Linked DNA regions of Tribolium castaneum. The protein of the gene in region 1 purifies or fractionates together with the protein of each later gene. This does not show direct contact. Links are inferred from orthologs where the notes say so. Each region holds a gene or a part of one and is shown in the gene's direction. Other genes may lie near its edges.

Evidence for each region.
Region 2: the proteins of dnaJ homolog subfamily A member 2 (region 1) and EndoG purify together in Homo sapiens (affinity purification with mass spectrometry; 3 studies listed by BioGRID and IntAct, with this or other methods). This does not show direct contact. The link is inferred for Tribolium castaneum from reciprocal best matches to the Homo sapiens genes DNAJA2 and ENDOG.
Region 3: the proteins of dnaJ homolog subfamily A member 2 (region 1) and nudC purify together in Homo sapiens (affinity purification with mass spectrometry; 4 studies listed by BioGRID and IntAct, with this or other methods). This does not show direct contact. The link is inferred for Tribolium castaneum from reciprocal best matches to the Homo sapiens genes DNAJA2 and NUDC.

Annotation. Positions count from the first base shown.
Region 1 is NC_087398.1:15,888,485-15,891,250, forward strand, and holds the end of dnaJ homolog subfamily A member 2, read left to right. Parts: intron 1-1,240; coding exon 1,241-1,849; 3' UTR 1,850-2,179; downstream 2,180-2,766. UniProt on the Homo sapiens protein: Co-chaperone of Hsc70. Stimulates ATP hydrolysis and the folding of unfolded proteins mediated by HSPA1A/B (in vitro).
Region 2 is NC_087400.1:7,676,651-7,679,947, reverse strand, and holds EndoG (endonuclease G, mitochondrial), read left to right. Parts: upstream 1-1,600; coding exon 1,601-2,001; intron 2,002-2,056; coding exon 2,057-2,293; intron 2,294-2,345; coding exon 2,346-2,526; intron 2,527-2,575; coding exon 2,576-2,671; 3' UTR 2,672-2,761; downstream 2,762-3,297. Other genes in the region: estradiol 17-beta-dehydrogenase 8, read right to left, coding at 560-645, 695-1,004, 1,057-1,373, 1,422-1,461. UniProt on the Homo sapiens protein: Endonuclease that preferentially catalyzes the cleavage of double-stranded 5-hydroxymethylcytosine (5hmC)-modified DNA.
Region 3 is NC_087398.1:987,702-992,108, forward strand, and holds the start of nudC (nuclear migration protein nudC), read left to right. Parts: upstream 1-1,504; 5' UTR 1,505-1,612; coding exon 1,613-1,696; intron 1,697-1,746; coding exon 1,747-1,824; intron 1,825-1,871; coding exon 1,872-2,210; intron 2,211-2,217; exon of another isoform or gene 2,218-2,520; coding exon of another isoform or gene 2,521-2,546; intron 2,547-2,598; coding exon of another isoform or gene 2,599-2,935; intron 2,936-2,979; coding exon of another isoform or gene 2,980-3,081; intron 3,082-4,407. Other genes in the region: mahj (protein mahjong), read right to left, coding at 12-88, 140-315, 362-489, 538-675, 727-877, 924-1,036; uncharacterized protein LOC656652, read right to left, coding at 2,521-2,546, 2,599-2,935, 2,980-3,081. UniProt on the Homo sapiens protein: Plays a role in neurogenesis and neuronal migration. Necessary for correct formation of mitotic spindles and chromosome separation during mitosis. Necessary for cytokinesis and cell proliferation.

The DNA of each region.
Region 1 (2,766 bases):
GACTGTTTGGTTCACTTTCTTTATTGGAAAATTATTACAAAGACATTGAAAAGCCTACCTTTTGGCATAACTTACGTTTAAATGTATCAGAAGTTGTTAATCTTTATTGTAGTTTTGTAGATTTACCGCAGCATTTCATGATTTTTTCAGTGGAAAATTCTAACCTAAAATTCGTAACACTTCACTAATTTATTGGTTTCTTGAGCCAAACTTTGTGTTCGCTGTGATCCATTACTAATAATCATTGATTAGACAACTGTTTGATAACACTTTGTAATCAAAATTTAAATATTTTTCACTTTTTATCCACTTTCAAGTTCCAACAGTAAACACTTTATACCACGAAAAACTACAGAACCAAAGTCAACGCTAGTATTTACCACCACGTACTTTTAAAATAATTCTTTCTATTGTAAATAATTAACACTATACACGCAAAATTGTTGAACAATTCATTAAATGTCAGTTAAATGTGGCATTACGAAAATTTCTTTACTGTTTTCGACATAGTTCAAAAGTCATCACCAGAGGGCGTCTAGTTAATTTTATTTCCGAATACTCTCGTTGCTACAGTTTGACTAACCCTGAAACAAATTGGTAACCCGACACGTTTCCTTCGGTAAAAATTTTAACCTTGGGTAAATCATAACCAAACACTGAAATACGCCAAACCTGGAAATTAATTGGTAACCAGAATATTTTTACTTTAACCATCAACTAAAATACCGAGCGTACGGGTTTAGACGGTTAAATTTATTAGAAACATCAGATCTTTTAAGTAGTTGTATTCGAGTCAACTCTTGGAATCAACAAATAACAGTAAAATTTTCATTATTATTTTATTCTCAATACGAATTAAATGACAATTTCATATTTTTCTTATAAGAAAAACTTCAAATTTCGAACGTTAAATGGCCGTTTATGTTTTAGTAACTGATAAAAAACTTATCACCGTCATCTTATTGTTCTTAAATACAAAAAGCTTATGTTTTTAATTCTAAACTTTTACAAAAATATGTTAAAAACTTAAAGATCCACGTTGCGGTATTGCACTAATGATGGTCAAATTGCAAATTCATACTGTCAGGAAGTATTAGGTCAATTACACAACAGATTGCTTTGCATGTACTACAAAATAATTAGGGTATCCTGTTTTACCACAGTATACCATTTTAGGTAACCTTTTCGTAATTCTCCAAAATTTTGATTTGAAGGCGTTTTAAATTGTTGTTCTACTCAGGTTTGTAACGAGACGAAAATCCTCGAGGTCCACATCGACAAAGGAATGAAAGACGGTCAGAAAATCTTCTTCCGTGGCGAGGGCGACCAACAGCCCGACATCGAACCCGGCGATGTCATCATCATACTTAACGAGAAATCCCATGAAACGTTCCAAAGAAGCGGCGACGATTTGCTCATGAATCGCACCATTAGTCTGACGGAAGCTCTCTGTGGCTTCAGTTTCGTGTTGCGCCAGTTGGACGGGCGCGATTTGTTAATCAAACACCCACCAGGGGACATTGTGAAACCAGGCGATTTGAAAGCAGTGATGGGCGAAGGTATGCCCATGTACAAAAATCCCTTCGAAAAGGGAAATCTCTATATCACCTTCGAAATCACATTCCCGGAGAGTAATTTCGCAGACGAGAAGACCCTCAAATCATTAGAGAGTATGCTGCCGCCGCGGCCCGTCTTTCAAATGCCTGAAGGCGAAAACGTGGAAGAAGTTGACTTGCATCATTTCGATTCGGCGAATGACAAGGGGGCGCATGGAAGCAGAGGGGAAGCGTATGCGAGCGACGACGAGGATCACATGCATGGACCGGGCATACAGTGCGCACATCAATAGAACTATTTTCGCAGTGTTGCTCTGCAGCTTTCTAAATAAGGATTTATATCTGTAGATCAATTATACTATCCGTTAATTTTTTGTCGTACCTAATTGTATATTTTTTATTTATTCTTTTACCTTCTTAGAGAATATTATTAATGCCACTTTTATTTCCAAACATCAAATTGTTTGTTGTAATAAAGAAAATGCCTGGTTTTGATTTAATTCATTTACGGACAAATTTACATTGCAAAGTACAGATTGTTAAAATTTGTACATGTACGAGTATTAACGGAAAATGTTAATAAAGATGTAACTTCTCTTAATAAAACTTTGTTTTTGTAGAAACATTTACTCTGTAATACCTTTTAAATAAAGTAAAAACTTAGCTGCTTAGTAAATGCTACGGCTTTCCTCATGTAAAGTGAAAATATTTATTGATGATTATGTAGCACCTTGTACGAAGATCATTAAGTGTAGTACCCTTTCTATTTGGACAAATTCACACATGTATCAAGCCAGTAAAACAAAATTTTTATAACTCCCGGTATATTCCCACGCATGCGCTCATTCTTTGTAAAGTCAATTGTCGCAACTTTAGGGTGAAGTGGTAAACCACGGGGATGGGAGGGACTGATCTTCGTACAAGGTGCTACATATAATCAAGATCGAACTTCACTTGGTAAGTTTGTTTGATCTTCTGATTGTATTAGCACCTTGCACTTAGACCATTAAGTGTAGATGTTGAAAGCTGTTGCGACAAACGAGTGTTCCAATCAAGGAAGATATAAAGTAAGAGTCTACAAGTCTTAACACAATTGTGTTTTCATTTTTGTTTATTATATTTTTTCTTCTGCTCCTATTCAAGTATTACTTTAAGAGCCGTCCGAATTGAAATCTCTTATGGGAGTTCCAATGTAAATGACTACCGCTGT
Region 2 (3,297 bases), on another chromosome or scaffold:
TTTTTATGATCTAAAGTTGATCGAAAATTTTTAGGGATTTTAATTGAGACGAAGTTAGTTAGTTCGAAAATATGAAAAATCTTTTCAAACTCGATTCAACAACGTTTTATGCACTTTCCTGTGAATTTAGAACCCTCTAGAGGTTTTAGAAGTGAAAGAATACGTAAATGAAAAAAATGACAAAGCTATTTCCATTAATAATTTAAAAACTATTGTCCAATCGCCAATCGACTCCGCAGATCATCTTACATACGAGTAATTAAAAACATTTCAGTTTTGTCTAATAGCTTTGGTGTAATTGACAAAATGGGTGCTTATTAGCCAAATATCATAAATTCGACTTAAAACCTATCGCCTTACATTTTGAAGTAGTGATGATTGCGATGAAGCTTGAAGTTTTTTATAAAATTCAGGAAAACAAGTTGTAGTATAAGAAACTAAGGTAAGGATTAGAATTGGAAGGCAAGAGAAACAAGAAAAAAACTTCCACATTTATTAAAAAAATATAAGTGTATGATCCAAATAACAAGAAATATCACCGAATTCCCCCGAATCACCTTTAAATTCCCCCAGTGATGTCAACAGAGGCCCCATCAACGTATGAGCTTTTATCAGAGGCCAAAAATGCAATAACTTCTCCCACCTCTAAAACCCAAAAAAATAATCCCACATCAATTTTTTTCATCAAAAATACCCTCAGGTTTGCCAAACCGGCCCAAAGGGATAAATTTAAGACTCTTCTCCCTAACTTTCTCAGGGACTGCGTCCGTCATAGGCGTCGCTATCATCCCTGGTAAAACACAATTTACCCGAATTCCAAATTTCCCAAATTCTTTAGCCGCTGTTTTCGTCAAACCTTCAACCCCGGCCTTACTCGCACTGTAATTGGCCTGCCCCAGATTACCATATTTGCCCGAAGTACTGGCAATGTTCACAATAGAGCCCCCTTGCACCCCCTGCTCGATTATAGCCCTGGCGAAGGTCTGAATGACCATGAACGTGCCCTTAAACCCTCGTCTAACATTTATTTGCAAAATGCGATTTGTTATATTTTACTTTTAAGTTAATCCTGATCACATCATCAAAATTATTTTCAGTCAGTTTGACCAAAAAATCGTCGCGTGTGATACCAGCGGAATTTACGATAATTGAAGGTGGCTTTTTGTACTGTTGGAGCACCGATTTTAAGGCACTTTCTATGCTTTTTTGCTCCCCCACGTCCAGCTCTAACGAGATGTGACTCTGAGAGCCCCCTTGTACGATATTGGTCACAGTTTCGTTACAACTGGCCAAGTTGCGGTCAGCTGCGACCACGGAAGCCCCCTCACGGGCCAAAATGCCGCAAGTTGCCCGGCCAATGCCCGACCCAGCCCCTTACATAACCTCACAATAAAATAAAGGAAAAAAATTGCAAAAATTACCTGTTACGAAAGCCAATTTCCCAGCCAAACTCCCGGCCATTGTTTACACAGTCTTATCACACTTATCACTACATTAAAAGTGTTTATCATCACTATTTACATATCAAAAACTGAGGTTATGTAACCGTGAACCTAACCTCAAAATAATCGTTATATCGCATTTTTTTAACAAATACGTGATGGCGGGGCACAAAATCAAAACCCTGGCCCTTGTGAGCTCCTTCGGCCTAAGTTCCTTCCTTGCTGGTAGTTATTACGAGCGAAAAATTGCCCAAGACCCACCTAACCTTAAAAAATTCCCGGGACTTCCGATTTTCGGGACTGTCTCAGCCGCAACCCCCGTCTCACCCGTCCCGTCCCAAACCAATGTTAGTCGAATTTCGCAAATCATGAAATACGGGTTTCCGGGTCTTGACAATATCCGTTCCTTCGATAATTACGTTTTAAGTTATGATAAACGAAACAGGGTGGCTCACTGGGTTTTCGAGCACATTACGGCCGAAAGTATCAAGCCAAACGAAGGCGTGGACCGGTCTTTGTGCCAATTTATGCCGGACGAAAGCATACATCCGTATTTCAGGTCAGGAGTTGGGTTTGTTCAATGTGTTGGAAGGGGGCTCATTTGGGGGTTGCAGGTCGCTCAATTCGGATTACTTGAAGTCGGGGTACGACCGGGGGCACCTGGCGGCGGCCGGGAACCACAAATGCAGCCAAAAACTGGTCGAGCAGACTTTTTATTTGTCGAATATGGCCCCACAAGTGGGGGTCGGGTTTAATCGAGACGCGTGGAATAAATTGGAGAGATATGTGAGGAAGCTGACGAAGACTTACACTAATGTGTACTGCTGCACTGGACCTTTATACTTGCCCAGGTCCGGCCCTGTTCTTTTTTTTTCAATTGATTATTGTTATTTTTTGTTAAAGGCGGGAACCAGACGGGAAAAATTACGTCAAGTATGAAGTGATTGGAGCAAATCATGTTGCAGTCCCGACGCATTTTTTCAAAGTCGTGGTTTGTGAAACTAGTGACGGAAAATTTGAAATGGAGTCTTATGTGATGCCCAATCAGGCTATCAGTGATGAGACCCCGTTGACGAGTTTTAGGGTTTGCAAATTTTTAGATTAAGGAATTTTGGGTCAATTATGGGTTTTAGGTGCCCCCTGAAAGCATTGAAAAGGCGGCTGGACTTTTATTTTTCGACAACATATCAAGGAGCAAGATTAGTAAAATTAATGGTAAAAAAAATTAATTAGTGCTTGACTAGGTTTTAATGTGTTTTTCTCGTGTTATATTTATTTTTTGTTGAATGATGTGTTCCAATACAGTATTTTATAATAGATTCTTGCGTTTTTTTCCAAATCATGATTATTTAACTTGGAAACGTATACACCAAAAATAGCGGATTATAAATATTATAATGCAGAAGGAAGTGTTGCAGTGGCGGAACTAGCTCCTAATTTTTGGGTGGGCACATAGGTGGGCCAACAAAATTTTTGTTGGGCACATAACACCTAACATCAGTGTAATATTCTTCTCGTAACGACATTGTCCAGATTTTAGTTAATTTTGCATGTTGCCAAACTAACAAACTGATCAAAAAATGATATACTAAAAAAAAAAAAATCTGCAGCCGCCTGAAAAATAATATCAAAGGCATTTTCTATGAAACTTTGAATTGTACCAGTTTTGTCTTCCAGCAAAAATTTTCTCGCTTTTTTGAGCAGTTTAGTTTTTGACTCCACATTTTAATATATTTGTACCTACAGATTGCATTCTCACTCGCTTATAAATCTTATAATACTGTTAGTTTTCATCAGTTTGTAGTAGATTTATTTAAAACTAGTAAATTGTTAATAAATATTAAATAATAAGTTA
Region 3 (4,407 bases), about 15 Mb from region 1:
GGCGCGCTTACCTCACTAGTGTTAATCACATCAGTGTTTTCTTTATTAAGTGTTGTTTTCGAATTTGGAATAACTCCATTCTCGCGGGCTGTAAGAATAATTATTGAAGGGTAAAATACAATAGGGTGTCGTTACGTACGCCTTTTAATACCAGAGGGTGAAACTTTTACGACACCGTCACCGCGATAAGGGGGCGACTTCATTGAAGATAAGTGTGCAAAAGGTCGAGTATTTGTCGTGGTCAAAAATTCCGAGGAATTTTGAAGCCTACGCAGTCTTTGAAGTAGTAAAGGCACAAGTCGTCCGTTTTGTTCCCTATTTTTTGGTAATTAACTGCGATAAGACCAAAGCGGAAACTTACCTAAAACGTGTGGCAATTTCTGGAATTTCCATTGCAGCAGCTAAAAGCCCCGTTGCGTAACTTTGCAGAGGTTCTATTGAATTTGTAGTCCATTTAATTAAACGGTGAATCAAATTATCCATATCGGGCTGAAACTAGTCGTTAGTTTTCCCCCCAAAAAAATAATTGACACGTACTTGAAACACCACTGATGTCTCTAAGCCAGGCATTACGTCTAGCATCAACCTACAAGCTGCAATATTCAACTGATCAACATCCTTGTCTGTGATTCCTGACCGAGAGTAGTACGTTTCTCTCAAATAATCGTTAACAAGCTGAAAAAATATTTATGTGTGTCTTTTTATGTTTTTGTGGAGAGTTAATACTTTGTTCATAAAAATATCCTTCCTAAAAAGCGCTTTTAAAATTTGGCCAAGTTTGCAGTCAGGATCAGTTCGTGAAGGGTGGCGTTCATCAAATGGGTCAGGATCCATTTTCAGGTAATTTTCAGTCTCCACCTCGCATATTTCGGCCAATCTGCCAACAAAAGGGTAAGAATTTGCCAAATTAAGGCAAGATCTACCTGGTGAGTGTCTGAATGGGGTCATAATTAGGCGCCGTATGTTCATCTTCCCAGTTTCTTATCAGAGTTGTGACTTCTGACATAACAGAAGTCGAATTGCTGTTTTCCGACATTATTGGCTCAAAACGTTATAAAATAAAGGGCATGAGGTAGTTTAACATAACCTAAAATACTTTACAGTTCCGTAATTGCAAGGTGAGATAATTAGGACACCGGGAGACTGGCAAAAACAATGCGATAATGTGAACTCTACACTTCTGGCTTGTAAAAAATCGTAATCAGTTTGATTATTTCACAAATTGGCGCAATACACATTCACAAAGCGCAAAACACAATTCTTGGCTTCCATTGAAAAATCGAGCACGTATGTTACTAAAAAAGTGCCGCCAATGGTACAAAAAAAAAACAGAGCTAAAATAAACCCTTGGGAAATTTAACGAATAGGAAATAAGCTTCGCACTATCGAAATATACACCCCCTTTGCATGTTTTAATTTTAATTTGAGGGTGGTCCCCGTTTGGCTAAAATTCCCACATTCGGTTGACCCATCAATGTTGGTACAAGCACCGTTTTTGGAAGTTTTCACGCCGATTGGTTTGGTTGGTACAATTGATATTTGGTCGATAGAAGAAAAGTCTAGCAATTTCCACGATTTTTGACCATTTTTTCACGAAAAAAGTCCAGTCAAGATGAGTGGCGATGATAATCAGACTGAGCAATTCGATTCCCTCTTCCTGTCAATAGCCCAGCACCATCCGCACGGCGCTTCGCAGGTGAGCCTCGATCTGTTTACTCTAACCTTAAAATCACGACAAAACTGTAGTTATTGGACACTTTTGTGAGTTTTCTAAGCCGCAAGACGGATTTTTTCACCGGGGGCGAGGAAGGAGCATGGGAAAAGGTAGTCCGGGGTAAAGCCAGTTCGAAAAATAATGACCTGGTTTTTAGTTAGTAATGAGCACATTTAGGAAATACGAACAAGTTAGTCGTAAGAAACACGAGACGGAGTTAAAAGAGCGTCGGGAACGTGAAGCCGCCAAAAAGAAGAAACAGCAAGAAGAGGAGAAGGTAAAACCGGCGGAAATCACCGAATTGACTGATGCTGAGGCTGAAAAGTTGCAAGCCGAGTTAGATGCTAAGAAAAGTGGGGTGAGTAATGGGGCCCCAGCTGTTGAGAAAATTGAAGAGGATGAGGATGCCTCAGAGATTGGGAAATTGAAGCCAAACAGTGGCAATGGATGTGATTTGGACAAGTACAGGTGGACGCAGACTCTCCAAGACGTTGAGGTAAGTCTTAGTTTTGTAGAAAATTTATTTGTATAATTTAATTAAAAATCAATTTACAAGATTTCCAAGGAGGTTCGGGACCTGCCTTAAAATTGTTCATAAATACTATACAATGCTGTAATGATTGCTTTTACATATCACAGTAACATCAAAAAATACTTATGGATAGCTTATGATTTAGAACAACCACAATTTTGGTCCAGTTGCTAAACCTAATTAAATAGGGAATTAAATAACTAACTACGATAAGTGCGCACGACATTTCAATGCTTCGTCAATTTTTGGAGAAATGTCGATGCTTGTCCTAATCCTAGTACCGTTGTCTTTTCGCCCTCACTGAAACAATAAAAAATTGGAAATTGGCTGAAATGAAAGCGGAAGAACTTACTTTCTAAGAGAAATATCGCCGCCAAGATCCCTATGGTAAACAAAGCGGACATCGTCAAAACTAGAATCGTCAATTGGTGTTTTCGACAGAAACTTCTTTGCCTGACCACAGGTCTCGTGTTCATATTAACTACGGTAAAATGCATCGAACTTGCCACTGAAACAGCATCTGGGTCTGGTTTCTTCAAATCGTTAACAGGCAGTGCTATGTGATCATTGTTGTTTGTTTGTTCGAGGTAATACTGAATGTTTTGTTGTCTGGTGTTTTTGTCCGTGTCCGGATTTTGTATTTGGGCCAGATTTGCTGCTGTCAGTAGTAACGAACCGGACCTTGCACTCTAAAAATCCAATGATTTTCTTGTCTTAATTTTTTTATTTGTACCTGTGTGCTATTATTGCTAGACGTCGAACCCTGCGAACTCTTTGAGCTTCTAGCTAGTGTGGGTCTGGGGATGTGCCAGCTCTTGTTGAGCTCTGCCGGAGTCTGCAAAAATCAATATTAATGTAATAAAGTAAGTGGTTATTTAATATCGAAGGTCGCGTATTTATTGTTAATTCATCGCATTATGCAAGACGGTAAGCAGGTGTCAAAACGAAATCGGTACATTCTCGTACCGTTCATAAAAATTTCGGATTAATTTATGTTAATTCTGATTTCGGCCTCGTTTTTTATTAATCAATGTACAATTTCCTTATTAAGCCCGTGTTTTTTTCATTGAGCGCCGAACGTGACGCTCATTTTTATTTTATAGATCGTGTTTGTATGACATTTTGTAATAATTGGCTTTGTTGGTAAAAATACACATTGTGGCATTTTATTGTTTGATTCGGTAGCATTGAATTTAATCACCCGCTTAATAAAAGCTGGGAAGATTGACAAGTAATCAGTGAAACACGCTAATACATTTTTATCTCGGTCACGGCCGCCGTTTGTAGTCTAATTTTTCACTAGTGGCCTTTTTCTCGGTATTCTTCCGATGATTTTCAGGCGATAATGACTGTAACCTCTCTCCTGGAATTCGGCGATGTTTTTATTTACGTCTTCTCACAATCGAACCGTCCTTGCTTCAAACCATTAATATTTGTTTTGACACATTCCGGATTCTGCTCATTGCAAGTGACGACATTTGTGGATTTTCTTGTTGCATCATGTTTTAATCACTTAATTCAAACAGAGACGCGTGCTTGGTGCTTTTTGGTAGTCGGAAGAATATTGAAACGTTCAAGGGTACAATTCGGACGAAACAATTGGAAGATAAATTACAAAGTTTCAAGTGAAGGTTTAGCGACCTAAACTTTATAGGTTTATGTAAATTGCAAGCGATTAATGAGTGCGGTATTAATCAACATCAATTAACTGCGTTCGAAGGCGACCTCCACTGCACATCTCAGTAGACAATCTAGATATTCTAATTTATTGAATAGTTACTATGCACGAAACGAATCATTATCACCAACAATATTTATAATCATCCTTTCTCCCGGGTTTGGTGAAATTATTAGAGCGAGCATTTCGGCTCTGAATTAATTCGAGTGATATTCGCTCATTTTTACTACTTCCTCATTTGCTTACATAAACATGTGAGTGAAAATTTCCGGGGTGGTGCGACTCTTGGATTTTTTGTTGAAAAATCTTCATTTAAAGTTATAATTTTAATCGTGTTTTCGGGTCAATGCCAGTCTGTTTACCTTATTTTAAATAATGGGAAAACAAGAGGATGCGTGTTTACACAACAAACTTCTCATTTATTTTAATCGGCCGTGCACGGCGAAAAAATTATTGATTCAAAAGGGACGATTTTTTCACAAG